7 linked regions of the Cricetulus griseus genome follow. The protein of the gene in region 6 purifies or fractionates together with the protein of the main gene of each other region. This does not show direct contact. Links are inferred from orthologs where the notes say so. Each region holds a gene or a part of one and is shown on either strand. Other genes may lie near its edges.

What was found.
Region 1: the proteins of Exosc10 (region 6) and Exosc2 fractionate together in Homo sapiens (co-fractionation; 9 studies listed by BioGRID and IntAct, with this or other methods). This does not show direct contact. The link is inferred for Cricetulus griseus from reciprocal best matches to the Homo sapiens genes EXOSC10 and EXOSC2.
Region 2: the proteins of Exosc10 (region 6) and Exosc7 purify together in Homo sapiens (affinity purification with mass spectrometry; 6 studies listed by BioGRID and IntAct, counting the BioPlex papers as one, with this or other methods). This does not show direct contact. The link is inferred for Cricetulus griseus from reciprocal best matches to the Homo sapiens genes EXOSC10 and EXOSC7.
Region 3: the proteins of Exosc10 (region 6) and Exosc9 purify together in Homo sapiens (co-immunoprecipitation; 7 studies listed by BioGRID and IntAct, with this or other methods). This does not show direct contact. The link is inferred for Cricetulus griseus from reciprocal best matches to the Homo sapiens genes EXOSC10 and EXOSC9.
Region 4: the proteins of Exosc10 (region 6) and Exosc4 purify together in Homo sapiens (affinity purification with mass spectrometry; 9 studies listed by BioGRID and IntAct, with this or other methods). This does not show direct contact. The link is inferred for Cricetulus griseus from reciprocal best matches to the Homo sapiens genes EXOSC10 and EXOSC4.
Region 5: the proteins of Exosc10 (region 6) and Exosc3 purify together in Homo sapiens (affinity purification with mass spectrometry; 8 studies listed by BioGRID and IntAct, counting the BioPlex papers as one, with this or other methods). This does not show direct contact. The link is inferred for Cricetulus griseus from reciprocal best matches to the Homo sapiens genes EXOSC10 and EXOSC3.
Region 7: the proteins of Exosc10 (region 6) and Exosc5 purify together in Homo sapiens (co-immunoprecipitation; 8 studies listed by BioGRID and IntAct, with this or other methods). This does not show direct contact. The link is inferred for Cricetulus griseus from reciprocal best matches to the Homo sapiens genes EXOSC10 and EXOSC5.

Annotation. Positions count from the first base shown.
Region 1 is NC_048599.1:143,396,339-143,399,838, reverse strand, and holds part of Exosc2 (exosome complex component RRP4), read right to left. Parts: intron 1,580-3,500; coding exon 1,534-1,579; intron 1,417-1,533; coding exon 1,327-1,416; intron 304-1,326; coding exon 238-303; intron 1-237. UniProt on the Homo sapiens protein: Non-catalytic component of the RNA exosome complex which has 3'->5' exoribonuclease activity and participates in a multitude of cellular RNA processing and degradation events.
Region 2 is NC_048597.1:230,059,014-230,062,513, forward strand, and holds part of Exosc7 (exosome complex component RRP42), read left to right. Parts: intron 1-2,178; coding exon 2,179-2,302; intron 2,303-3,426; coding exon 3,427-3,500. UniProt on the Homo sapiens protein: Non-catalytic component of the RNA exosome complex which has 3'->5' exoribonuclease activity and participates in a multitude of cellular RNA processing and degradation events.
Region 3 is NW_023276806.1:113,111,004-113,115,026, forward strand, and holds the start of Exosc9 (exosome complex component RRP45), read right to left. Parts: upstream 2,801-4,023; 5' UTR 2,707-2,800; coding exon 2,641-2,706; intron 2,345-2,640; coding exon 2,250-2,344; intron 1,648-2,249; coding exon 1,528-1,647; intron 1,434-1,527; coding exon 1,331-1,433; intron 821-1,330; coding exon 683-820; intron 1-682. UniProt on the Homo sapiens protein: Non-catalytic component of the RNA exosome complex which has 3'->5' exoribonuclease activity and participates in a multitude of cellular RNA processing and degradation events.
Region 4 is NC_048595.1:373,626,509-373,630,019, reverse strand, and holds Exosc4 (exosome complex component RRP41), read right to left. Parts: upstream 2,321-3,511; 5' UTR 2,239-2,320; coding exon 2,068-2,238; intron 1,250-2,067; coding exon 1,043-1,249; intron 907-1,042; coding exon 547-906; 3' UTR 501-546; downstream 1-500. UniProt on the Homo sapiens protein: Non-catalytic component of the RNA exosome complex which has 3'->5' exoribonuclease activity and participates in a multitude of cellular RNA processing and degradation events.
Region 5 is NC_048595.1:98,138,529-98,142,616, reverse strand, and holds the start of Exosc3 (exosome complex component RRP40), read right to left. Parts: upstream 2,801-4,088; 5' UTR 2,792-2,800; coding exon 2,444-2,791; intron 1,888-2,443; coding exon 1,738-1,887; intron 1-1,737. UniProt on the Homo sapiens protein: Non-catalytic component of the RNA exosome complex which has 3'->5' exoribonuclease activity and participates in a multitude of cellular RNA processing and degradation events.
Region 6 is NC_048595.1:7,879,591-7,883,752, forward strand, and holds the start of Exosc10 (exosome component 10), read right to left. Parts: upstream 2,801-4,162; 5' UTR 2,754-2,800; coding exon 2,643-2,753; intron 2,359-2,642; exon of another isoform or gene 2,225-2,358; intron 1,506-2,224; coding exon 1,369-1,505; intron 583-1,368; coding exon 459-582; intron 1-458. UniProt on the Homo sapiens protein: Catalytic component of the RNA exosome complex which has 3'->5' exoribonuclease activity and participates in a multitude of cellular RNA processing and degradation events.
Region 7 is NC_048602.1:9,460,904-9,464,928, forward strand, and holds the start of Exosc5 (exosome complex component RRP46), read right to left. Parts: upstream 2,801-4,025; 5' UTR 2,753-2,800; coding exon 2,605-2,752; intron 88-2,604; coding exon 1-87. Other genes in the region: Bckdha (2-oxoisovalerate dehydrogenase subunit alpha, mitochondrial), read left to right, coding at 3,305-3,391. UniProt on the Homo sapiens protein: Non-catalytic component of the RNA exosome complex which has 3'->5' exoribonuclease activity and participates in a multitude of cellular RNA processing and degradation events.

The sequences.
Region 1 (3,500 bases), on a different chromosome or scaffold from region 6:
CTGAGACAGCAGTGCTGTGTTTGAGGTTAGCCTGGTACACAGTGAGTTCCAAGCCAGCCTGGGCTATCCTTAAAAAGAAAGACAATTGTGTCTAGCTTGCACCATGGGTCACAAGTTACAAAACCCAGAGTACTGTTCTGAGCTAAGGAGAAAGAGCAAAGCTTCAGCCAAGCCCTGGACATATGACCCAGAATTCAGACCCCTCTGGTCAGCTGGCAGCCCTGTAAGTCAGGATACACTGATGAGGTCTCCTTCCTGTAAGAAGCCTCTCATGGCCAGCTCATCCTCTGCAGATCTTCTCCTCTGAAACACACGGAAAAATGACCACATGACACAAGCCTCACTTTCAGGAGGAGCTCTTTCCATCCCTGCTTTTTGCTTGAGGTCTGTGTAGCCCACCATGGTATTTTAACATAAAGAACTATGACAAGAGGTAACCTCAACTGCTGGAGAACAAGGGAGGTGATACTAGCTCTCCAAGAGGGACCCTCCTAGGCTAACATCCAGACCCTCTACAGGTCACTGAGCCTGTTTCCCCACTTACCCTCACTTCCACCAGGCTGTGTGTCTGCTCACGTATCTCCCTTCATCTGAGTCCCAACCTCACTCCAACTCTCAGACCCCCAAGGGCCCTCCTATGAAACAACCCCTCTCTGCTCTCCATGTTTCTTTCTTTTCCTGCCTCCCCATGTGGTTCAGCTATCTCCTATCCTCCACCAATCTATAAGTTCTTTAAGGGACTCAGATGTGCCTTATTTATTCTGACACTCTCCATAGGATCCAGCTCACTGTCTAGAATAACCATGTGCATTCAAGTCACTGAAAACTAAGGATAAGTGGGGCTTAGTGGCACATGACTTTAATCCCAGCACTTGACAGGCAGAGGCAGGCAGATCTCTGTGAGTTAAAGGCCAGCCTGGTCTACAGAGTGAGTTCCAGGACAGCCAGGGTTACACAGAGAAACCCCGTCTGAACACCAACCTCCTGCCCACCCTCAAGAAAAGAAAAGAAAGCAAAGGCCAACATTTCACAGACACCTTCCCTGTGTAACCCACAAGAATGCCAACCCACCAAGAAAGGAAATTAGCACCAAGATTCAGGAGCCCCTCTCCCCAGCTCCATCTTGGGAGCCCACTCCACATGTGTTTCTGGTCTTACCAAACACTAGTTGCTGCCTATGTCAGGTGACCAGAGCCAGGAGAAAAAGCCTATGTTCACCAAGCTAGCAGACCCCATGACAAAACATTAACAGTGTAAACCGAGTTCTATGGTGGAACAAAAGCCCCACAGCTCAACTGGACAGTTCTAGGGCAGACAAGCACTCACCAGCTCCCCTCCGGGCAGGTTCATGGATGAGAGGAGCAAGACAGAATCCAGCCTGGAATTTGTCTCTACTTTCCACCTCTTCTGTTGAACCTGTAAGGAAAGAGTAAGGCAGCATCTCAGGGCACCTTCTTCATACAGCATTTCACAGAATGAAGGTCCCATCCCTGAGCCACCAGCCTCCTTCACTTTGTAAAACAGCAACTTTACCTCCGTGATTCTCCCCACTACAATGTCTCCTACTTCTCCATTGTATCTGCAAGAGAAAGCAGAAGGTTACCCAGTAGCCAGCAGGCTGACCAGACCAAGCACTATTTGAGGCTGAGTAAACAGATGGGACTTCAGAATCCCTGTGTATATACTTCATTCGTTTTCCTTAAAGAAACTGCTGCCGGGCATTGGTGGCTCACACCTTTAATCCCAACACTTGGGAGGCAGAGGCAGGCGGATCTCTGTGAGTTCAAGGGCAGCCTGGTCTCCAGAGCGAGTGCCAGGATAGGCTCCAAAGCTACACAGAGAAACCTTGTCTCGAAAAAACCAAAAGAAAAAAGAAAAAAAGAAATTACTCATTGCAAATCATTCCTTTAGACTGCAGTCCTAACTTTGCTTGATTATGTGACAAAAACACAAAGTACTTGCTTCTGAATAGGGGTGGGACAAGTTTATCACCACGCAATGGAGGGAAGGAGACACTGAAACACACTACCATCCATGGGGGCTCGAGCTGCCCTCTCCTCGATGCCTGCCTGGCTCAGGCACTTTGCTGGTCCCTCACCCTGATTCTGAGGATGAAGTGCTCTTTGCTAAAAGCCCAGGCATTAGAATAGGTCTCTTTCTACTCAAGCTCCCTCACAGTGAGCTCACCGAGTTTTAGTGGTGAGAGGCAGGGGCTCGTCCATACTCCCGGCTCTTGGGAGAGAGCGTCATGAAGCTATCCAGTATCAGTAGCCACACAAATGGCTCGTGAACACTTCTAAAAGTAACTAACCCAAAACAAAGACTGCCGGCATCGGCTTCCCCTTCTCCACAGCAAACCACTCTCCCATTGATGCCAGGTCAGTAAGTGCTTGCACACACACACACACACACACACACACACACACACACACACACACACACACACACACACACACACACACACACACACACACACACACACACACACACACACACACACACACACACACACACACACACACACACACACACACACACACACACACACACACACACACACACACACACACACACACACACACACCACACACACACACACACACACACACACACACACACACACACACACACACACACACACACACACACACACACACACACACACACACACACACACACACACACACACACACACACACACACACACACACACACACACACAACACACACACACACACACACACACACACACACACACACACACACACACACACACACACACACACACACACACACACCACACACACACACACACACACACACACACACACACACACACACACACACACACACACACACACACACACACACACACACACACACACACACACACACACACACACACACACACACACACACACACACACACACACACACACACACACACACACACACACACACACACACACACACACACACACACACACACACACACACACACACACACACACACACACACACACACACACACACACACACACACACACACACACACACACACACACACACACACACACACACACACACACACACACACACACACACACACACACACACACACACACACACACACACACACACACACACACACACACACACACACACACACACACACACACACACACACACACACACACACACACACACACACACACACACACACACACACACACACACACACACACACACACACACACACACACACACACACACACACACACACACACACACACACACACACACACACACACACACACACACACACACACACACACACACACACACACACACACACACACACACACACACACACACACACACACACACACACACACACACACACACACACACACACACACACACACACACACACACACACACACACACACACACACACACACACACACACACACACACACACACACACACACACACACACA
Region 2 (3,500 bases), on a different chromosome or scaffold from region 6:
CAGCCAGGCTTTGTGGAAATGGGAAAGAAGGTTGTCATCAGAAGTGGCTTAGCCTCTGAGATGAGTCTTCTTGGCTAGCTGGTTCGCATGGGTGCCAGGGAGTTGGGGAAGCTGTTTTGCTGTGAGGGAGTCCTGAGAAAATGGATGTCAGCTTGTGAAACCTAGCTACCCAGATCACGAACAGCTATCAGTCTCACTCTCAGGCAGCAAGGAACAGTGACCCCATGATGCCCTTGGATAGAAGATAGAAAGAACTTTGTACATTGAAGTCCTCCAGAAGAGTTGATGCCACTCTGTCTTCCCCAATCCTCTGCCTATGTTGGGCCCAAAGAATTAAGAAATTAAAAGTTCTCTCTCTTTCTCTCTCTCTCTCTCTCTCTCTCTCTCTCTCTCTCTCTCTCTCTCTCTCTCTCTCAGCCACCTTCCTCTTACTCCCCCCCCCCCCGTGTGTGTGTGTGTGTGTGTGTGTGTGTGTGTGTGTGTGTGTGTGTAAATATACAGACGTCTATTTTGGCATATCAGTCCTGTTTCACACTGCTTACTGCCCACTTCAAGGAGGATGTCACACTTAGTACTCTGAGGATGTCACACTGAGCACTCTGAGGATGTCACACTTAGCACTCTGAGGATGTCACACTGAGCACACTAAGGATGTCACAATAAGCACTCTGAAGATGTCACAATGAGCACTCTGAGGATGTCACACTGAGCACTCTGAGGATGTCACACTGAGCACTCTGAGGATGTCACAATGAGCACTCTGAGGATGTCACAATGAGCACTCTGAGGATGTCACAATGAGCACTCTGAGGATGTCACACTTAGAGCACTCTGAGGATGTCACACTTAGAGCACTCTGAGGATGTCACACTTAGAGCACTCTGAGGATGTCACAATGAGCACTCTGAGGATGTCACACTTAGCACTCTGAGGATGTCACAATGAGCACTCTGAGGATGTCACAATGAGCACTCTGAGGATGTCACAATGAGCACTCTGAGGATGTCACACTTAGAGCACTCTGAGGATGTCACACTTAGAGCACTCTGAGGATGTCACACTTAGAGCACTCTGAGGATGTCACAATGAGCACTCTGAGGATGTCACACTTAGCACTCTGAGGATGTCACACTGAGCACACTAAGGATGTCACAATAAGCACTCTGAGGATGTCACAATGAGCACTCTGAGGATGTCACACTTAGCACTCTGAGGATGTCACAATGAGCACTCTGAGGATGTCACAATGAGCACTCTGAGGATGTCACAATGAGCACTCTGAGGATGTCACACTTAGAGCACTCTGAGGATGTCACACTTAGAGCACTCTGAGGATGTCACACTGAGCACTCTGAGGATGTCACAATGAGCACTCTGAGGATGTCACACTGAGCACTCTGAGGATGTCACAATGAGCACTCTGAGGATGTTACAATGAGCACTCTGAGGATGTCACAATGAGCACTCTGAGGATGTCACACTGAGCACTCTGAGGATGTCACACTTAGAGCACTCTGAGGATGTCACACTTAGAGCACTCTGAGGATGTCACACTGAGCACTCTGAGGATGTCACAATGAGCACTCTGAGGATGTCACACTGAGCACTCTGAGGATGTCACAATGAGCACTCTGAGGATGTCACAATGAGCACTCTGAGGATGTCACACTGAGCACTCTGAGGATGTCACGCTTAGCACTCTGAGGATGTCACACTTAGAGCACTCTGAGAATGTCACACTTAGAGCACTCTGAGGATGTCACACTTAGAGCACTCTGAGGATGTCACAATGAGCACTCTGAGGATGTCACACTTAGCACTCTGAGTCCCTGACACAGAAGCTCTAGCCTCAACTTTTGACAGGTAGCGAGGATGTAAACAAGGTGGAGTTAACGAAATTCCTGCTTATAAAAAAAGAATTTCGCTGGGTGTTGGTGGCGCACGCCTTTAATCCCAGCACTCGGGAGGCAGAGGTGGGTGGATCTCTGTGAGTTTGAGGCCAGCCTGGTCTACAGAGCTAGTTCCAGGACAGCCTCCAAAGCTACACAGAGAACCCCTGTCTCGAAAAAACAAAAACAAAAACAAACAAACAAAAAAGAATTTCGGTTCCTGATCTCAAAAAAGGTTATGGTTCCTCCTTCCAGGAGATGGAAATTTCAATCATGCCTCTGTTCCCAGGATACCACGGGTTCGTGTTCTGGAGGATGAAGAGGGGGCAAAGGACATCGAGCTGTCTGACGATCCTTACGACTGTATCCGCTTGAGTGTAGAGAATGTGCCCTGCATCGTCACCCTGTGCAAGGTGTGAGCTTGTCTCTTAGCATTCTTGCCTTCCGTGGGGAGGCGGATCTCTTCCAACCCTAGGCTCTTGAGATTACTTCATAAGCTGAGAGGCTGTAGTTGTGCAAACCCTACAAATGTAGCTTTAACCCACATCTCATCATTCGGTTCCATTAGGTACAGACGAGTCCCAAGGGAAGGCTGCTTCATTAGCAGTCTGGCTGTCATGGTCCCTCTGCAGGCTCTGCACTCTATTGCACTGCTCATTTTCCATTAACTCCCTGTACTCCAGAGTCCAAGGTAGCTGAACACCGGTAGGTTCTCAAACAGTATTCCTCTATGGACCCTGATGTCCACATACAGGAACTGAGGGCTTGGGGCCAGTCCTAGGTGACACATGCCAAGTATAGTTTGCACGGAGCCCAGAGGTTTTCTGACTCTGACATCTGGCATAGCCTCAGGCTTGTGTTGGCTGGGATTGTGACTAATTCCACAAGAGACTCGTTATATAAAAATGAAGCTGAGCCAGGTGCAGTGGCTCATGTCTATAATTCCAGAACTCAGTAGGTGGGGACAGTAGGACTACTGCAAGCTTGAGACCAGCCTAGCCTATATATCAAGTACCTCGTCAGCATAGCTGCACAACAAAGACCTTGTTTCAAAACAAAACAAAACCAAAATCACACATTTCAGTCACTTAATACCACTGGAAGTTTTTTGAGAACTGAGATTGTAAAGAAATGTTCACAGGGCGTTGGGACTAAACAGAGCTCTGGAGGGTGGCATTATTTTGTATGTCCCTTAGCTGGGCTTTCTGGATTCACTGTTGGAGTGAACAAGAAGCCGTGGGGCCTCACATATGCATTTCCTGCCTGTGTTCCCTGTGGGAAAGCCTGGTGGTCTCTGTCCTGGTGGACTCTCTGCCCCCAAACTGCTTGTTGACATTTTGTCTTTTTATTATATTATTCACACAATGGACCATATTAACAATGTTGAACATTCCTTCCAGCATTTTCCAAACAAGCAGAATTTAAAATAAGATCTGGAACGAGCCATGCATGTACAGCCTTTGTAGGCTTGTGTCAGGGGGATCTGGGATCTCTGGTCTACTGTTCACATGTATGTTAAACAGCCCTGATCTTGCAGATTGGCTGCCGGCATGTGGTGGATGCCACACTTCAGGAGGAGGCCTGCTCCTTGGCCAGCTTGCTAGTGTCAGT
Region 3 (4,023 bases), on a different chromosome or scaffold from region 6:
TATGAAAACTTGGGCATTTGATGGTTCCCTTTGCAACTCAGGGTTCAAACAGTACACTTCATTATTCTAACATGTAATATATATAAATCAAAATTGACCTACCTGGCAAAAAGAGGACAGCACAGACCACTGGTTCTCACAATGATCCCTGGACCAGCACTGGGACCGTCTGGGCACTCTGAGTTAGAGGTATAAGTTCTTAGGTCCTATCTCTATCCTCCTCTATAAGCAGAGCCTAGCAGTAAGTTGTTAATAAGCCCTCCAGGCACTTCTGATCAACTTTTGTCATATACTTGCTTAATGAACAAAAGGCCTAAAGAACACGTGTAAATCTGGTGAACCTCATTCCTTTTCAGGTACTGTTGGTCTCTCAAAAGTAAGTATCTCATGCTAATCCTAAACAGAAACTAATCATTGCCTCTAATAGTCAATCCAAAGAAAGGGTCACAGTTCTATTTCAGAAAACCAAGTTGGGTCATGGTATTATTGACAGACATTTTTGTAAGGGAACTTGAAATTTCTAGAGCAATTTTGAACATCTGAAGGTTTTGTCTTATGAACAAATACTAGGACAGATCTAACTCCCATCTGCCACATGCTTCCACTAATAACTACCTGTCTGCACATCCAGGATACCCATTTGTTCATAAATACAATTCCAGTTTGAATCCTGGAAGCTTACCAGTGTTACTTCCTCTCCTTGGACAGAGACATCCGGTCTTCGGAAGTGACACAAGGCTACGATTGCAGCAATACTGGCGGCGTCAATAATATTTCCATCATGATTTAATAAATGTAGGTCTACACGGATCTGCCAAACCTGAAAGTGAATTTAAGATAAAAATAAATCCTACCTGAACATGACCAGTGGCCACTGGAAAAGTAACACTGGACATTTTTTTAAATTAAAGCATGCAGTTTATCCAGTAAAAATGTAGTTAATTTTAAGAAAAACAAACATTTGAAATACTAATAGTTAACTTTTCTATGTGAGTCATCTGAGAACATGACAATATGTAAATAAATGGAATCATCCCAACATTTAAAACCTGTGTTTTTTAAAAAATGTTCATTTTTATTTTACATGTGTGTACATTTGCTTGTATACATGTGCCACACTCATGTCTGGTGCCCCCAAAGACCCCAAGTGTTAGATTCTCTGAAACTAGTCACAGATGGTTGTGATCTGACATGTAAGTACTAGACCTGAAGCCATATCCTCTGAAAGAGCAACCAGTGCTCTTAACCACTGAACCATCTCTCCAGTTTCCCTAATGTTTTGTCGGAATCAATAGTATCCATTGTTAAAAGTTTGGGACATATTTCCCACCTTTTCACCAGCAACAACACAGAGAGATTCAGTATCTATACACTTTGAATTTCTTAGACACCTTTCCAAGAGTCGATTCAGCTTCACCAGGAGATCGGACTGCCTTTGGAAACAAGAAGGAACTAATGTCATGAACCACAACTCTGAGCATTAACAACAGTTTACTGTGGCTAAAGGAGCTTAAGAAATCGAGATACCTGCCGGGTTCAAAAGCTGGAGCAGCCATCTGAGAAAGTTCAAGGTTAAAAAACAGAATACCTTCTGTTGCTCTATTGAGTTTTGGAGAAACAAGTTCACAGGAAACCTGTCCAAGAACTCTGCAAAAATAAAGGTACAAAGCAGTCAACTAAACATACTTCCCTTTCAATTAAAAAAAATGAAGAAATGTAAAACAGACAAAAAAAATAAATTCTACGTAACAACACAAAGTGACTTAAAGACAGGAATTACATACAGAATGTAGTAGACTGGGGCCAGCAAAGCTGCGTCCACACACAAATATGCACACACACAATAAAATGTTTGGGTCATGCAGAAAAAAAACTGATATACCTAAAAGGATAGCAGAAAGGAAATCTCTTACTTCTTACATCACACAAGAATAAAAGGGAAACTGAGACTCATTGATGATAAAATCTACACTCCTCACATTAGAATATCAGACACATGCAGGTAACAAATTCTGTGTGATCGATGTCAGCTGCCTACATGATTTATAAAGATTTATAAAGATCACAACTATGACACTCATACAGCAGAAAGCACTCGTGGTTAAAAGTGTGACCAGAAAACTAAAAAGGCTTACATTAAAGAAGAGAGATAAAAATCACTGCTTGGATTTTTGAGCTGCCCGCTAAACAACCGAGTCAGTACATAATTTTCACATCTCCTGTGGCATTTTCTAATTGTTTCGTGTTACCTTGTTTTCCCAAGTTCTACAATACAGCATCCATAATCTGTTCCGAATGAGATCCTGATGTTCCTGTAATCATAGGTCTGTCTGCCATCCAGCCGCTGTAAGCAAACATCATTTATTCCTTTAACATTTTAAGAGTAGCAACTGTGTCTGTCTGGTCGTGGGCCCCAACACCCCTGGTATTAACAAATTGTTGGTGGTTTGCAGCTCAAAGGAACTTGCCAGGATAAAATAATTGACCTGAACCTGGGGAAATGGGCAGAGTTCACACTGGGAACGACCCGAGCCCACACCACGACCACACCACAGGCCAAACTGACAATGAATCCACGGGCCACAGGAGTCCACCACGCTGGAACGCGAATCTACACCCAAAGCCACGGAGGCCTCGCACCTTCTTTTCCTCAATGGCGCGAAGCAAAAAGCGGCGTTCGCAGTTGGAGAGCGGCGTTTCCTTCATAGTGTTGGGCCACGCAGCGGAAGAAAGGTACCGAGAAAACTCTGCACGCCAGCTTCTTCCCGGCGAGGAAAATCGACGTCATCCGGGCACCGGCGCGGAGCGCGGTGTGGGCGGGGCTAGAGGTCGGGGACCGCTGCAGCGGGGAGGGGCTGTGCTGATTATTTTACCGAAGGGATGTCTGAAAGGAAGGAGATTAGCGTCTGCAGCATAGTCCTGTTCCTTTAAAAAAAAAAAAAAAAGAGAGAGAGAGAGAGAGAGAGAGAGAGAGAGAGAGAGAGAGAGAGAGAGAGAGAGAGAGAGAGAGAGAGAGAGAGAGAGAGAGAGAGACAGAATCTCACTGCGTATCCCTGGCTGTCCTGGAACTCAGCAGAGATCACCTATCCCTACAAGTTGTAACAACTCTTACTTATGGGGTGGGGGTAGGAAGCAGGGATTTCCCCAGCTCTTGACTCTGGCCTTCTACCAGCTTCCAGGCTGGCCTCGATTTTGGGATTTCTCGGCACTTCACAGCAGAGACAGTCTGCAGAGGATGCTAACTTATGTCAGAGAAAGCCGGAAGGATGGCGCGGGCCGGTTGCTGGAGAATGCTAGGAAGGGCGGATGGTGAGGACTAAGGAGGCTGGGAGGATGTAGCAGGCTGAAGGTGGTTCACTTGAGGCCTGGGGATAGGAAAAGAAGTGAAGTGTAACTTTCACTCCCAGTGCACTGAAACCTCGTTTACTGCCTGTTTGTCGTTCTAAGTCTCCAGGCTTATTTTTGCCAACGCAAACGTGTTCTCCATCTGCTGGCCAGTGCCCTGGTCTACCCATATCAAGAGATGGTATTTGGCAGCTTGGGCAACAGTGAGCGGCAGTGCCCAAGTCCCCTGTTATTACTTTTTTTTTTTTAAATGATAGTCCCTAAATATCATTGGTTGGCCTTGAACTAACAGATCCTCCTATCCCTACAAATCATAACAAGTCTTGCATGGACCTGGGAAGTAGTGATTTCCCCAGCTCTTAGCTGGCTACTGGCTTCCAGGCTGACCTTGATACTGGGATTCTACATCATTTTAGAGCAAACAGCACTTGGTCCAGGTCGGAGACCTTGGCCCCAAAGACTTAACTCTGACGCGTTCCAGTTATCAGGCCTGCCGTTTCTGGTCTTGTTCTCTCTGGCCTTCCTTTACCGTGCTGCCTTGCTTCCAGTCCAGGCTGCTTTTGAACTGTCCAGCTGCCTTGCCGTTCATTGTCTCAGCTTGGCCGCCAGACCGCACAGCTGCGTCAGCTATCCCAGCTGCTTTTCATGTTGTCCCCTCAGTTCACAGAACAGAAAGAC
Region 4 (3,511 bases), about 370 Mb from region 6:
AAACATAGTTTTGCTGTTATGAAGTTTAATGTAAATATCTGAAATGCAGGATATCTGATATTTGTCCCCCAAAGGGTTGAGACTCTCATGTTGAGAACTGCTACATTAGTCTAGCCTTACACCTCTATGATAGGCAAGCATAGCCAGTTGAGTTCTACCTCAGCCTTGTGCAAAGGTCCCAGATGGGCTGGATGAACATGGCATATTCCTTAGTGTGAGGGCTTAAATACTCTTTTTTTTTTTTTTTTTTTTTTCCGATTTTTTCAAGTCAGGGTTTCTCTGTGTAGCTTTGGAGCCTATCCTGGCCCTTGCTCTGGAGACCAGGCTGGCCTCGAACTCACAGAGATCTGCCTGCCTCTGCCTCCCAAATATTGGGGTTAAAGGTATGCGCCACCAACGCACGGTGGGCTTAAGCACTCTTGCTCTTCCTAGCACAGGTAGGGGCATTGCTACATACTCTGCTTTGCAGGGCTCTGAGCTGCTCTGTATAATAAGGTGTGTATAGCAGAGGAACAGGCCTTTATTTTGGATATGGGTGGTTGGCACTCAGTCCCCCAGTAAGATAGAGGCCTCCTGCACATGCTGCCGGACTACACGATCCAGCAGAGTGTGCACATCTCTGGCTGCTTGGGCAGCAGCCTCTAGAACCTGCTCCAAGTGGTCTTCATGCAGCCTTGAATCCATCTCAAGCAGTGCAATCTGGCCTGAGGCTGGCAATAGGGCCAGGGCTAGCTGGGGACCTCCAGCTGCTTCCTCCACATGGCTGAGGTCCGACAGTGCTGTGCCATCCACAAAGCCAGCTGAGCATGCACATACAAAGTCCCGCATGGGTATCCCAGCATCCATCACTGCCAGCGTGGCTGCATTTACACATGCTGCATAGGTTCCACCATCTGCCTGCAGTACCTGAAGGGGCATCAGGACATGAGACTCACATCTCAACCTTCAGCATGTCAGGCCCACCTCATACAGCCACCCCACCCCCACCCCCGAGCCCACCCACTCCTGGTGGTGGAGGGGTTTGAAGCTGCAGCTAGCTCACCTGCACATAGATGTCAATCTGAGAGCGTGGGTGCAGCTGTGTGAGGATGGCTGCCTCAAAGGTCTGGCGTAGTTGCAGCCCCATCTCACAAGACTTACGGTCCCCATGAGGCCTTCGCTTGCGCTCACCAGTGCTGAAGGTTGCTGAACTATACTGACAGTTCACTAGAGCCCGGTCAGGCAAGGCTCGAGACCTGGAACCCCGGATCTGGAGGAGAAATGAACACAGGTGTCAGGCCTACCTCCTGGGTCACACTCAACCCACAGGACTCAACCTTTCTCCTCCTCTTCCTCTAGTGCTTCAGAAAACAGCGGCTACCTGGCTTCCAAATCAAATCCTAGCTGGAGGGAGGCTTTTCAGACTAAACCATAAGTTACCTTTGGCAGGCAACTCTTTGTTCTACAGTAGCTCCATTTCCTCCCAAATTATTCCCATTGTGGCCACCACATTTACAAACATCTGGTCCGTGTCACCTATACACTAATAATTTACCTATCTACCAGGGGCTCCCCATTACATGTAAAACAAAGTCTCAGTTTCCCGACTTTCAAAGTCTTGGGTCCACCCCCTTGGTAACTACTCAACTTTACTTGATCTACTGCCTCTCTACCTACCAATAGTCGGCCCTGATGTGTTCTATACCCGACTATCACCCTGCCTTCCGCCTAGAAAGCTGAACTCTCATATACCAACCAAACTGTAAAATGTGCGTGTTTTGCTGGCCTTGACACAGCACTGAGACACAGCAATAAAGGTAGACAATTACATCGAGAGTCCCTGTATTGGGAATTTATGTTCCAGTAGAGAAAGAAGCGACGCGGAAGACTCAGTAAAACCGATGTAGTTAGTAAGCGCAGACAGGCAAATAGTGTTGCAGTGGCCTGGGGAGCTTCTTCCCGCCAAGAAGTCAGAATAATGAGCTGAGAAAAGGGGGAGTGAGTGGAGCTTCGCCAGGCCGGCTGAGGCACCTCAGAGACTATGAGGGCCCACTGGCGGGAGGAACCCGCGCCCGGTCTCTTACTCGCCTCGTGAGGCCCGTAGACCACCGCCAACGCCTTGGTGTTGCCCTGCTCGATATAAGCCGAGCCGTCGGCCTGCGCAAACACGCCCATACGCGCTTGGATCTTGCGCAGCTCGCCCGCGCGCCGACCGTCTATCCGGTAACCCTGGTCGGACAGGAGCTCCAGTCCGGCCATGTTGTACGACCCCAGCTCCGCCTCCCAGAGCACAGCGCTTTAGGACTCCAGCTTCCACGACCCATAGCTTCCGGCGGTCCGTACCTTTTTCGGTCTCGGTAAACTACAGCTTCCGGAGAACTAGTCCCTTTCCGGTCCGATGGAACTACAGCTCCCAGCATTCTCGGCTTTCTAAATGTACGGGTCTGGCCGAGTACAGAAGGCCCGAGCAGAGCGTTTTGCGGCTTCTCCCGGGTCGGTAAAGGAGGAAGGCACTGAAGACGGCCTTCTCCTTCTGGACGTCTTCGGTTTGTTGGAGACTCTCTTCCCAGCGGAGACATTTTTTTGGTCTTTTTTTTTTTTTTTTTTCGAGACAGGGTTTCTCTGTGTAGCTTTGGAGCCTGTCCTGGAACTAGCTCTGGTAGACCAGGCTGGTTTCGAACTCACAGAGATCCTTCCGTCTCTGCCTCCCAAGTGCTGGAATTATAGGCGTGAGACACCACCGCCCGACTTTTTTTTTTTTTAAGATTTATTTATTCTATGTACAAGTGCTCTGTCTGCATGCACTTTATGCCAGAAGAGGGCATCAGACCCCTCTATAGACGGTTGTGTGCCACCATGTGGTTGCTGGGAATTGAACTCAGGAGGAGGAGTAACCAGTGATCTTAACCTTTAAACCATTTCTCCAGCCCTGGTCTTTCTTATTTTTTAGTTGTATATTTTCATTTTTATTGTATGAAATTTCTGTTCGTTTCTTGTTTTTTTGAGACAGGGTTTCTCTGTTTAGCTTTGGAACCTGTCCTGGAACTAGCTCTGTAGACCAGGCTGGCCTTGAACTCACAGCGATCCGCCTGCCTCTGCCTCCCGAGTGCTGGGATTAAAGGCTTACGCCACCAACGCCCAGCTAGCAGCTGCATGGTTGTATAGCAGCTTTTGGAGTTCTAATTCTTTTTTAAGATAGGATCCTTTAGTGTTCACCTTTTTTGGAGTGCTTCAACTCAGAAAATATGAAATCCAATCGTCCTGAGGTCTCTTTGTTGTTGCTTTTTGGAATCTGGATGTGTATCTCAGGTTGTTGTGGTTGCTTTTTTGAGTGTTTAATGTATTTCAGGTTGGCCTTGAACTGGCAGTCTTCCTACCAGAGCCTTTCTAGTGTTGTGATTATGGGTGGGGCCACAACGTCCGGCTTGGATTGTGTTTTTGTTGTCTCCTTCATACCTATGGGGTATATATAGCAGGTTGCATTCCCACCACTTCCTCTTTAACTGCCCCATGTGTCCCAGGGGCTTATAAT
Region 5 (4,088 bases), about 90 Mb from region 6:
TATAAGACAGAAAAGCAGAAAAGTTCCCTTCATCCAGAAATCCTTTTTTTTTTTTTTTTTTTTTTGGTTTTTTGAGACAGGGTTTCTCTGTGGCTTTGGAGGCTGTCCTGGAACTAGATCTTGTAGACCAGGCTGGTCTCGAACTCAGAGATCTGCCTGCTGCTGCCTCCCAAGTGCTGGGATAAAAGGTGTGCACCAGTACCATCCAGCTCTAGATTTAAAATGTTACAAAACTGAACTTTAAAATGATGAAGCTGAGGAAACAGAATGAATTTCAACATTAAAAATCCCCACTGTTGAGAGCTGGAGAGATGGCTCACGGGTTAAGAGTACTTGATGCTCTTGCAAAGGACCCAGGTTTGGTTCCTAGCACCCTCCTAGCAACTCACAACCATTCATAACTTAAGTTTCAGGGGACCCGACCTTCCTGCCTGACCTCCACAAGCATCAGTCATATAGAGGGCAAATACATACATAGAGCCAAAACACCCTCGATATGCATACATTAATAATATTTAAGTACCCACCATTTTGGGTGACTACAAAACTTAGAGGGAATGAATCATAAGACACTTTATGCCTTTCAAGAACATGTGATCTTCTACAGGGCAACAAGAATGAATAAACTCATGACAAGTTCAAGAATAAATCCAGTACCATGGTAAAGATACAGGAAAAGTGATGATGATGAATGACTTTACATAGTCGTGCTTAGCCTGGATCTCAATGGATGGATGTCTGTCTCATAGGCTGAGAGACTGCAATCCAGACAGAAGAGCACCATTACTAAAGACCCAAAGGAACCAAGTTCAGTGGTGTTGTGAAACTTAAGCATATTAGCATGAAGTGCTAATATGAGGGAAGACCCCTGGGGCACAATGCCAATGAATTCTCTATGATTTGAACATTTTTTTTCCTGTTAAGAAATGGAATATGGGAGCTGGAGAGATAGCTCAGTGGTTAAGAGCACTGGTTGCTCTTCTAGAGGACCTGGGTTCAATTCCCAGCAACCACATAGTGGCTCAAAACCATCTATAGTGGGATCTGATGCTGTGTTCTGGCATAAAGTCAATAGAGCATTCACATATACTTAAATCTTTTTTTAAAAAAATCCACACATATAAAACCTTTAAAAAGGGAATGTCAACATGAGGATATTAACAGATGGAAGCTGGAATGTTAATGAGATTGCTGCCCAGTTTTGTCAAAAATGAGCAAATGCTTGAACTCATAGACACAAAGGGATAAGGCATGCAAAAGACAAGAGATGGAACAAATAAGATCAAATGACTCAAGACCTGTGAGAGTTGAAAGAAAAGTAGCACAGATGCCATCAAATTTCTGGCTCACATGTATCCTCAGGAAGGATACAGCTAAACCAACCAGAAATCCTGTAGTAACAAGATCACTCTTCTGTCAGCTCCAAGGATTCAGAGCCAAGATGAAGAGATAGATGACTGACAGTACCAGTGTCCCTTAGACTAGGGACACTTTCCTTGTGATATGGATATGAACCTCACAGGTAACAAGGGGAAGCAAACATAACCCTTCAACCTGGGAGAGAAGAACCAAGAACACAGCACTGGTTCTGGAGCTGCAGCGCCTAAGGAACTATCTTGGAGAATCTGAAGGATAGTTTATGCTTTGGAGACAAATCAGGAAGTCCTCTGGGCAGCTAAATTTCTGGGGAGTGGCTATTTTTGCCTTATTGTTGAAACCAAAGGCTCCCATCATTACCTGCACATTCGGTCTGTTTCTTTTAGTTGCTCCTTCAAATGCCAGGTAAGACAAAGAAGCTGGCTCACTCCCTCCAACATCAACTTTGAATATATCTCCAGATTTAGCAATCACTATGCCAATCACGTGGTCTCCTTTCACGGGTACGTACTGCAAAACATAATGAAAGAACAACCATAAAAGACTACTGTAACATATATGCAGTAAGTTTTAGCAAGGTTGCTCAGGATGGGTCTCAAACAATCCTCCCAACTCATATTCCTCAGGTAGCTGGGACTACAAAACCGGGCCGCACCAATCCAACTTTGTTGTCTCTAATCCGTAGTTGACCTGAGTCAGGTTTCATACTTCAGCATCTTTTATACATCCGGCGGCACAAGAATCCTTACAGTCAAGGAAACCCACCCATTAGACACTTCTACATGAAAGCTCTTACTCTACGAATAATTTAACTCCCTGTTATTTAGACTCACTGAAACTGGGACTCCACATGGCACGCCTGCGGCTTCCTACTTTCTAGCCCCTTTCTCCTTTCTCCCTTCTCAAGCTGTGTTTCTACTGTGGTTCCTCTAAAGAAGATGCAGAGGGGACCTAGAAGCCACCGCGGCTCTAGGCTGAGCTCATCCTCTCCTCCCCGCTGCAGGGAGTCTTCCCAGAACTGGGATTCCACTATCGCAGCAGCACGGCCTCTCCAACGTCCGCTCACCCGCTTCTGTTGAGAATCCACCCAGTAAACGCCACCGCCGCCTCCTCCGGGCTCCTTGTGGCGCAGGCGGCCACACTTGGTGACCAGCAGGCGGTCCCCGCAGCGTCGTAAACCCGGGCCACACACGACGCGCAGCCGCGGGCGCGCCCCCGAATTCAGACGTAAAGGCTGCTCCCCGGCGCCGCCAAGGCCGTCTACGTCCTCGTGCTCCGGCAGCACCAGCTCCTCCCCAGGGAGAACCACCTGATTCAGCACGTTGTGCGCTACCCGCGCCCGGCAGCCGGCCACCGATTCTTTCCCAACCGACAGTACTTCAGCCATAGCAGGAGTCGTCGCAGCTTCCGGCATTTTACTTCCGCTTCCGCATCCAAGAGCCCGCCCTCCAGGGTTATCCCTTTCCGGTTTTTGTGGGCTTTCTGAAATAGACTTCAGACCGCCAACCAGTCACATCCTCTCTTCGGTACCCCCTCCTCCCCACCCCCAAACACCCGTATCTGAGCTATCAGCCCACCCACCCTGTGGTTTCTCCGCGGGTGGGTGAAAGAGACGCCCAGCTGGAGTTCATTTGGAGCCCTCACATCCCGTGTCAGGTCTTTCGGCTTAGTCTCTACGGGTGCTGGAACTAAGGGCCCCTGGGTATTGGGTTTGGAGGCTTTACTTTCCATTCAGCCTACAGAAAGGTGGCTGAAATTTTAACTGGGAAAAAAGGGTTTGCAAAGTATGACTTGTTTGGACGTTGCTACCAATTTAAATTCTGTAAAATATAAAGAATGGGAGAACAACAATAGGGGCTGGAGAGATGACTTCATGGTTTAGGAGCACTGGCTGTTCTTCCACAGGACCCAGCACCCACAAGGCAGCTCACAGCTGCCTGTAACCCCAGTTCCAGGGGATCTAACACCCTCACACCGATACACATGCAGACAAAATACCAATGCATATGAAATAAAAATCAATTATTAAAAAGAAAGAACAACGGAAGTCTTACTCATTTGTCTCCTTTGCTGTGTTTTCAGCTGTAGTTCCTATCATTTGTACATAATAGATGTAACACTTATGTGTATTACACTCTAGGGCTCCCCCCCCGCCACCCCCACTCCACCCCCGCGCGCAACACATATCACACCTTTTCACCTACTTGAGTTATCTCTACATGGCTTAGGAAAATCAGTAACTCAGAACAATTCTTGCCCCTATTTCTTTTGGAGCACACCAATTGAAGGAAAGCCCGAATGGGGGGGCAGGGGGCTCTCTCCTGGACCGGATTAGAAGCACACACTCCTCAAACACCTATTTCACAGAGAGATCCTTTATTAATCAGGGAAGAAAAATTAAAGTGGCTGCTTTCTGACTCGGGCAGAAAAACAGCAAGTAACTTTGAAGGTGTAGTTTTTAAAAAAAAAAAAAAAAAAAGATTTTATCTATTATGTATACAACATTCTGCTTCCATGTATATCTGCACACCAGAAGAGGGCACCAGATCTCATAACGGATGGTTGTGAGCCACCATGTGGTTGCTGGGAATTGAACTCAGGACCTCTGGAAGAACAGTCAGTACTCTTAACCTCTGAGCCATCTCTCCAGCCTGAAGGTGTAGTTTTTAAGAAGGGAAAAAAGAGGTCTGCATCAAAATAGACTAGGATGC
Region 6 (4,162 bases):
CAGCCAGTGCTCTGAATGTTGGAGCCATCTATCTCTCCAGAGCTGAAAAAATTTTAAGTTTTTGAAAAGCATGGATGGGGGCTGGCTCTTGCAGAGGATTGGAGTTCTACCCTCAACACCTATGTCAGATGGCTCACAACTGTCTGTAACTCCAGCTGCAGTGGACCCCAAGACCTCTGGCCTCCAGGTACACATACCCATAAACATAATTAACAACAACAACAACAACATATTTGACATTTGAGACAGGGTCTTACTAAGCAGAACAGGCTAGCCTGGAACTCACAAAGATCCACCCATCTTTGCTTCCCTAGTGCTGCGATTATAGGCATGGCCACCAGGCCTGGCTAAACTTACTTCCTTTCCATTTTCTACAATGCTGGGGTTTCTCCTTGCATTTTAATATGTGAGCTTATTTCTGTTAGTTGACTTATGTGGACGGACAGAGAAACACTCACCACTCTCTCCAGAATCACATCGTTGGTATCAACGAGTAAATCGAACTTGTCCTCCAATTCGGTCACTTTACTTCGATCTTTGATGTTGCTGCGACACCCGTGGTACTGCATTACCCTACTCATGCTAAAGAAGGAAAGCCAGGGTCAGCCCGAGCGCCTGTACGCTACCAATCTACACTCTGGGGAACAACCAGACATTCTCACAGCAACCTTTAAGAGACACGACTCAAAGCTGGGTCTGGGGGTTTATGCCTTCGATACTGGCTTCTTGGAAGGCTTGAACACTCAGGGCCTGGGCCACACACTGAGTCTGGAGCCAACTTGGGCAATTTAATGTGATCTCTCCCAACAATTAATAGATGACAAAAGTGTAGCTTTGGCCCTCCTACTTGCTCTATAGACCAGGCTGGCCTTGAACTCAGGAGATCCACCGGTCTCTGCCTTTCAAGTGATGGTACCAAAGGAATGCACCTTCACTGCTCCGCTGATTTATTTTTAATAATCATAGATCATACTAGGTGTCACATTTTTAATTTTAGCACCCAGGAAGCAGAGGAAAAGGTGATCTTTAAGAATCCAAGCCTAGCTTGGTATACGCAGCAAGTTCCAGGCCAACCAGGGTTCCATACATAGTGACCTGCTGCTGTTCTCCCTCAGCAACCACAGGCCATGGCAATATCCTTCCTTAAACCATCCTTGTTATTGGCATTCAGCAAGTACTTTCTTTTGTTGGTTGGTGTTGGGGTTCAGACCCAGGGACCCCCTACCACTGAGGTATAGAAGTAAGGAAAAACAATCTCTCTATTCATTTCCCTCAGTTAACATAATAAACAATGTACACTTCTTACCACTGGATGATCTCAGTTAACATAGTAAACAATGTATATAGTAAACAATGTATACTTCTTACCACTGGAGCAACCTGTCTCCTTGTGTTTCACAAAATGCCTGGAAGGCCGGAAAACTCCGGTAAAAGTCATACTCGTCACCAAACTGTGGCAGGCCCCCAGACGCCTTGGTAACTGCCACCACTGACCCGAGTGCAAACTGAAAAATCCAGAGAAAAAGACATACTTTAAGCTTGTATTTCTATTCATTCAGAAAGAAAAAAAAAAGATTTAGAATATATATACACCAGGGAGCTGGAGAGAGGGCTCAGGGTTGAGAGTGCTTAGCACCTGCTGCTCTTACATAAGACCTGGGTTTGGTTCCCAGCACCCACAGGGCTGCTCGCAACCATCTGCATCTCCAGATGCAGGAGATGCAGCGCCCTCTTTTGGCCTCTGTGGGTATCAGCAGATATTCAGCATGCTCGGGCCCTCCCTCCCTCCCTCCCTCCCCTCCCTCCCACACTAAAATAAAAACAAATAGGCATGGGACACATCTGCTGATGCGGTGCTGGGGACCCAGCCCTGTCTGCACCACCAAGTCCCGGCGCAGACTTGGGCGCCTTCTACAATTTACAGTATTTTGTGGTTTTGATGCACATCCATCAAGAAAACATAATTACTTCAGAGGACCCCTTTGTAAGCAGTGATCTAGGGCCTGTTGTGAGGTAACGGGAAACAGTCTGAAGCGGCTGTCATCAATAAAGGACGAGTGCTCTTTACTCCCAGCACTCGGGAGGCAGAGGCAGGCGGATCTCTGTGAGTTCGAGGCCAGCCTGGTCTCCAGAGCGAGTGCCAGGAAAGGCTCCAAAGCCACGCAGGGAAACCCTGTCTCGAAACACCAAACAACAACAACAAAAAGGACGAGTGCTCGCTCACGTTCAGGTGTCGTGACAGACAGCATCGTGAATTTTGTGAACACAGAATTTGCAGGAGGTGCTGGTGAGCGCATGCGCTGTGGCACTCGGGGCCGCGATGGCAAGAGTGACAGACAGGGACGCTCAGCCCAGAGACGGGCGCGGACGGCTGTGCGCGGCGGGAGGGCCCAGCGGGGCGGCTGCAGAGCCGGGGCGGGGGGGGGCGCCACGTGGCCGGCGAGGACGCCCGCTGAGGGCGCGGCTGGCGGGCTCGGCGGGGCTGAAGCTCGCGCGCCCACACCGGAAGCGCCGCGCCCCGGGCTCCCGCTCCTCCGCCGCCGCAGCTGTTCCCGCGGCGCTGTGAAGCCGCCGTGCCGAGCGCCGGACCCGCTTCCGGCCAGAACGGGGGCCCCCGCGGTGCCCAGGGCCCGCGTACTCACTTTCACGAAGCTGTCTGCGTCGGGGAACCCAGGCAGCACCATGTCCTCGTCAGGCTTGGCCGCGCTGGTCGCCGGCGCGGAATGATGCTCCCGGGGGCTGGGAGGCGCCATCTTTCCGTCCTAGGGCGGCTCTTCTCGCGAGACTTCCGGCAGACGGGGCGAGCCCAGCGCGCGTGCGCACAGGTGCCCCCCCTCCTGGCTTGTAGCTGCTGACCGGGCTTGGCTCACAATAGGGAGGTTTAGACTTTTGATTTCACGCTGGTAGCATCCTAACAAACCAGTGGGCTATGGTGTGACCTGGAGGATACAGTTTGTTTGTTTGTCTTCGGTTTTTCGGGACAGGGTTTCTCTGTGTAGCTCTGGAGCCTGTCCTGGAACTCACTCTGTAGACCAGGCTGGCCTTGAACTCAGAGATCCACCTGCCTCTGCCTCTGCCTCGCGAGTGCTGGGATCAAAGGTGTGCGCCACCAATGCCCGGCTACAGTTTTTTTTTTTTTTAAGATTTATTTATTATGTATGCAGTGTTCTGTCTGCATGTATCTCTGCAGGTCAGAGAGGGCACCAGATCTCATTACAGATGGTTGTGAGCCACCATGTGGTTGCTGGGAATTGAACTCAGGACCTCTGGAACAGCAGGCAGTGCTCCTAACCACTGAAGCCATCTCCCCAGGCTACAATTTTAATCACAGTTAAAGTTGGCTCTTCCCTGCCTGCCTCAGCTTCCCGAGTCCAGGTGTGCATAACCACACTTGTACTGGATGTTTAAAGTTTAAGAATAAAACTGGGCTGGGCATTGGTGGCGCATGCCTTTAATCCCAGCACTCAAGAGGCAGAGGCAGGAGGATCTCTGTGAGTTCAAGGCCAGCCTGGTCTACAGAGCAAGTTTTAGGACAGCCTCCAAAACAATCCAGAGAAACCCTGTCTTGAAAAACAAAAAACCACAACTGAGTGTGGAGGAGAGAGGTATCTCAGCAGTGATAAACACTTTTTTTTTTCTCTAGAGGACCACAGCACCCAGTCCTGAGGGGTTCATAACCACCTGCAACTCAAACTCTGAGGGAGCAGATGACCTCATGTGGTGGGCACGGGCACACACGATATACAGACACAGACATAGAATGTACCTCTACATGACACAGGGTTTCTCTGTGTAGCCCTGGCTGTCCTGGAACTCAAGAGATCCACACCTGCCTCTGATTCCCTGTCTTAGTCCCTCTAGAGCTGGGATGTAATGGTGTATGCTCGTGCCTGACCCTTCTCTCTGTGTGTGATGCCGGGAACCAAACCCTGGGCCAGTGCCTGTTAGCTAGTGGCCTACCACAGAGTTGTATCCCCAGCCCAGTGACAGGGTTTACAAAATAATTATTAATAAAAAGCCAGTCATATACATACATTTTAAAATTCTGATGTCATTTATTGGCACAGAAAGTACTCAGATATAACATGGTGTCTAGACGTGTTTTCACTTTATACTTTGTTTATTTAGTTGGATATTTACTTTGTTCATAATTCCCGACCTG
Region 7 (4,025 bases), on a different chromosome or scaffold from region 6:
TCACTTCGAGTGTGGCCTTGTTGAAGATTTCTTTGCTGACCTTCACCTCGGCTGGCCCGTACACTCCAGCCAGGACAGAGGTGTCACCTGGGGAGACATCAGCAGAGGCCTCTGCCACACCAACTCTCTTCTCTGCCTTCTCATCTGTAACTGGAGACTACTGCAGTCCTTCCCTCGAGGCACTTTTGTCAAGATCACATGACAGTGGCTCACAGAAGCAGTAAGCCCAGTCTCTCAGTGTCACACAACAAGATCAAATAAATACCCATTTTAAAAAGATACAGATACTTGAAACACAGGATGCTGGCCAGTGAGTCCAGAGCCCAGCCCAGACTTCAGCTACTGGTGAGTTTTTAGAAGCAGTTGGGGCTGGAGAGATAGCTCAGCAGGTCGGCACCCACACTGCTCTTCCAGAAGCCTAGAATGCAGTTCCCGGCACCCGCAGGCTGCTCATAATCACCTTGTAACTCAGCTCCAAGGTATGGACACCCTCTTCTGCCCTTCTTGGGCACCCGTACACACAGGCACACACACGTATATCCTCCCAGTGTCTGGGAGGCAGAGACGGGAGGGTCAGGAATTCAAGGTCATCCTTGGCTCCATACTGAGTTCGAGGCCACCCTGAACTACACAAGACTATCTCATAAACCAACCAAAAAGAAATCCATTGTTACATATAATTAATATATACTATTAAAAATATTTTAAAAGGCCTTACAAAAAACAAACAAAAAAGGGTCTGTAGTTGCGTTGGGTAGGGATCTTAATCTCTGCTCATTTTCCCAGAATGGCATAAATGGGTCTGGAGGAAAAAAAGCCTGGCTTCTAGCCCTGATTGCCTATTCCAGGCCCTTGTGTGATTTTGATAACCTCTGTGGGCTACAGAGAAGCCATCTACAAAGTGAAGACACTGCACTCAAACAGTGGTTTCCACATGATTTTGACCGTAATGCCCAATGACCAATACACTCTATACCACAACTCCAAACTGGTAAATGCATGTGTATAAGTGAATCACAGGTGGGCTGGAGAGATGGCTCAGCAATTAAGAGCACTTGTCGCTCTTGTAGAAGACGATTCACAAAGGTTTGTAACCACAGTTCCAGGGGACCCAACATACTCTTCCGACCTCCTCAGGCACCAGGGAGAGCCATAAAACAAACAAACAAACAAAAACAAAACAACAAAACCCAAGGGGTTAGGGATGCTAGCATGTGCAAAGTCCAAAGGGAAAAACAAAACAAAAAAACAAGATGGCTAGCCAACAAAGGCAGGTGACAGGCTCATGGGCTCTGTAGGTTTTCACTGTTGGATTTTCTGGGATCAGGCCCTAGACAGTCTAAGCTGGCCTTGAACCTGCTATGTAGCTGAGTGAACCTGGCCTTGCCTCTACCTCCCTGGGGAACGTACCCCATTTTTATGAATCCTGTTTTTAAGTGAAGATACTACGCTGGCTAGTTTTGTCAACTCAGCACAAGTTAGACAGATCTGAAAGGTGGGAATCTCAACTGAGGAACTGCCTCCATCAGACTGGCCTGTAGGGTAGTCTGCTGGGGCATCTTTTTTTTTTTTTTTTGGTTTTTCGAGACAGGGTTTCTCTGTGTAGCTTTGGAGGCTGTCCTGGAACTCGCTCTGGAGACCAGGCTGGCCTAGAACTCACAGAGATCCGCCTGCCTCTGCCTCTGCCTCCCAAGTGCTGGTATTTAAAGGTGTGCGGCACCAACGCCCGGCCCAATCTGTCTACTTTTGATAGCTCCTCACACTCCCACGACCTCTCAAAGCTGGCTGACCGGCATTGGGTGGAGGCAGGGTTGTGTGGGTGTCAGTCGTGAGACGCCTCTTTTCTCTCTACAATCACTTACACTGATGAGATGAATACACCAAGCAACAGACACATTTACTCAAATGATGGGATGGGAGAAGGGGAGATACCTGTGGGTCCAGAATGGGGATCATCACGTTCAATGTGAAGGGCATTCGCGTGGACCAAGTCATCTGCTGCTGTCACCGCACTTGACCCAGCGGCGATGACAAGTCCTTCTCAAAGGGAATGCATGCAAACGAACACCTTAGCCTCAACCGGAGGTGTACCGATCCAGGAGAAGTGTGTGGAAGGAAATCTAGTCAAGGGGCCTATTCGCCTTGGTGAAATTACACCTGTTCTGGAATATCCACTCTTCCTAGGGCGTGCTCTTGCCCCTGATTCCTTCCAGGCTGGACGTATCAAATATTTTTTTGGTTGTTTTTTCGAGTCGGGGAAGAGGTGTGGACCCCTCCTACGTATCTAGAAATAGTTTTTTCGTTTCTTTTCAAAGAGATGGGCGCACTCGGTTGCACACTACACGGTAACCGCTCTTCCAAAAAAAAAAAAAAAAAAAGAAAAGAAAACAAACCCCACCAGGCGTTGGTGGCGCTCGCCTTTAATCCCAGCACTCGGGAGGCAGAGGCAGGCGGATCTCTGTGAGTTCGAGGCCAGCCTGGTCTCCAGAGCGAGTGCCAGGATAGGCTCCAAAGCTACACAGAGAAACCCTGTCCCCCCCAAAATCCCAAAAACCAAGAAACCCAAGCCCCCCACAGTGGGGCTGGGGATCAGGCTCTTTTTACCTTGCAGGAAAGAAGCAGATCCATCCGGCCGGGACAGCAGGTTCTGTTCGCAGGCGAAATGCCGGAGGCTGCAGCCGGGACTCCGCGGGCCGGGCTCCGCGGCGGTGCCAGCGCCCAGCTCGGCGTCCGCACGCTTCGCGATCTCCATCGCCGCCGAGCACGCGCGCCCCGCCTGCGGCCGTAGCTTCCGCCCCCGTGGTGCGCACGCGCGCGCTGGCTCGCTCGCTCGCTCGCGGGCTCGCCGGCTCGCGGGCCCGGCTCGCAGCGGCTGCGTGGCCGCTGCGCATGCGCCAGCCTGGGCGGCGCCTGACTCGTCCCTGGCACGTGGCTGAGCGTTTACTAACAATCTGGTCCCGCCCCGCCTCCGCCTCCCGATTCTCGCAAAGCCATTGGGCCAGAAAGGAGAGGGGGCGGGTCTTGGAATAGGCCCACCTCGCCCAAGGCCCCCCGGCCCTCAACCCGTGAGCCTGTGGTCAGGGTGTCCCTTTCCTGCCTGATATCGGAGCCGCTATAAGCGGAAGGCTAGAGCCACGGCGGAGGATAATCAGAATCGGCACGCGCACTTAGGTTCGTGTCTTGGACTCACGGCGGTGGGAGTGAAGTCGCTTGTTGGCCCGACCGTGCCGGCATTTGAGGACGGCATCTGGTGGGGCAGCCCCGGGTCCAGCTGGGGAGAGAGGAGGCGTGGCTATCGAGCGAGATGGCGGCGGCGATGTGGAGACAGAGCCGGGGCCTGGCTGCTCTCCTGTCGCTGCGGCGGCCTGGGGCGCGGGGCTTGGCTAGATCCGTAAGTACCTGGGCCCCACGGGGTCCCTCCCGAGGTGGCTGCGGACGCAGAGGTTGCTCTTACGGTGTGTGCGGGTCGTGAAGGAAAGAAAAGGACGCGGACGCTCCTTGGAGAGAAGAGTCAGGGGAAGAGGGAGAAAACCGGGGGTGGGGTGGGCCAGGATCAGCCCCACGTTTCTTTATTCCGTTACTTAAAACTCCACTTGTGAAGCTGGGTGAGCAAGAAGCTGATTGGACCCCTGCGGTCCCCGATCAGAAGCGAAGGCGGGGGCCCGGGCGCGATCACTGTCACAGGCCATCGGGGTATGTTGGTTGATGTCATGAAGGGAGAAATCCACACAGGACCCTTTGTCAACGTTGTTTTTTAAAAATTATTCCTTTTTTTGTAGATTTTATTTATTATATATACAGCATTCTGCCTCCACATATGCCTGTTGCCAGAAGAGGGCACCAGATCTCATTACGGATGGCTGTGAGCCACCATGTGGTTGCTGGGAACTGAACTCGGGCCTCTGGAAGAGCAGTCGGTGCTCTTCACCTCTGAGCCATCTCTCTCCAGCCCATATTTTTTTTAAAAGATTTTATTTATTTATTATGTATACAATATTCTGCTTCCATGTATCTCTGCACACCAG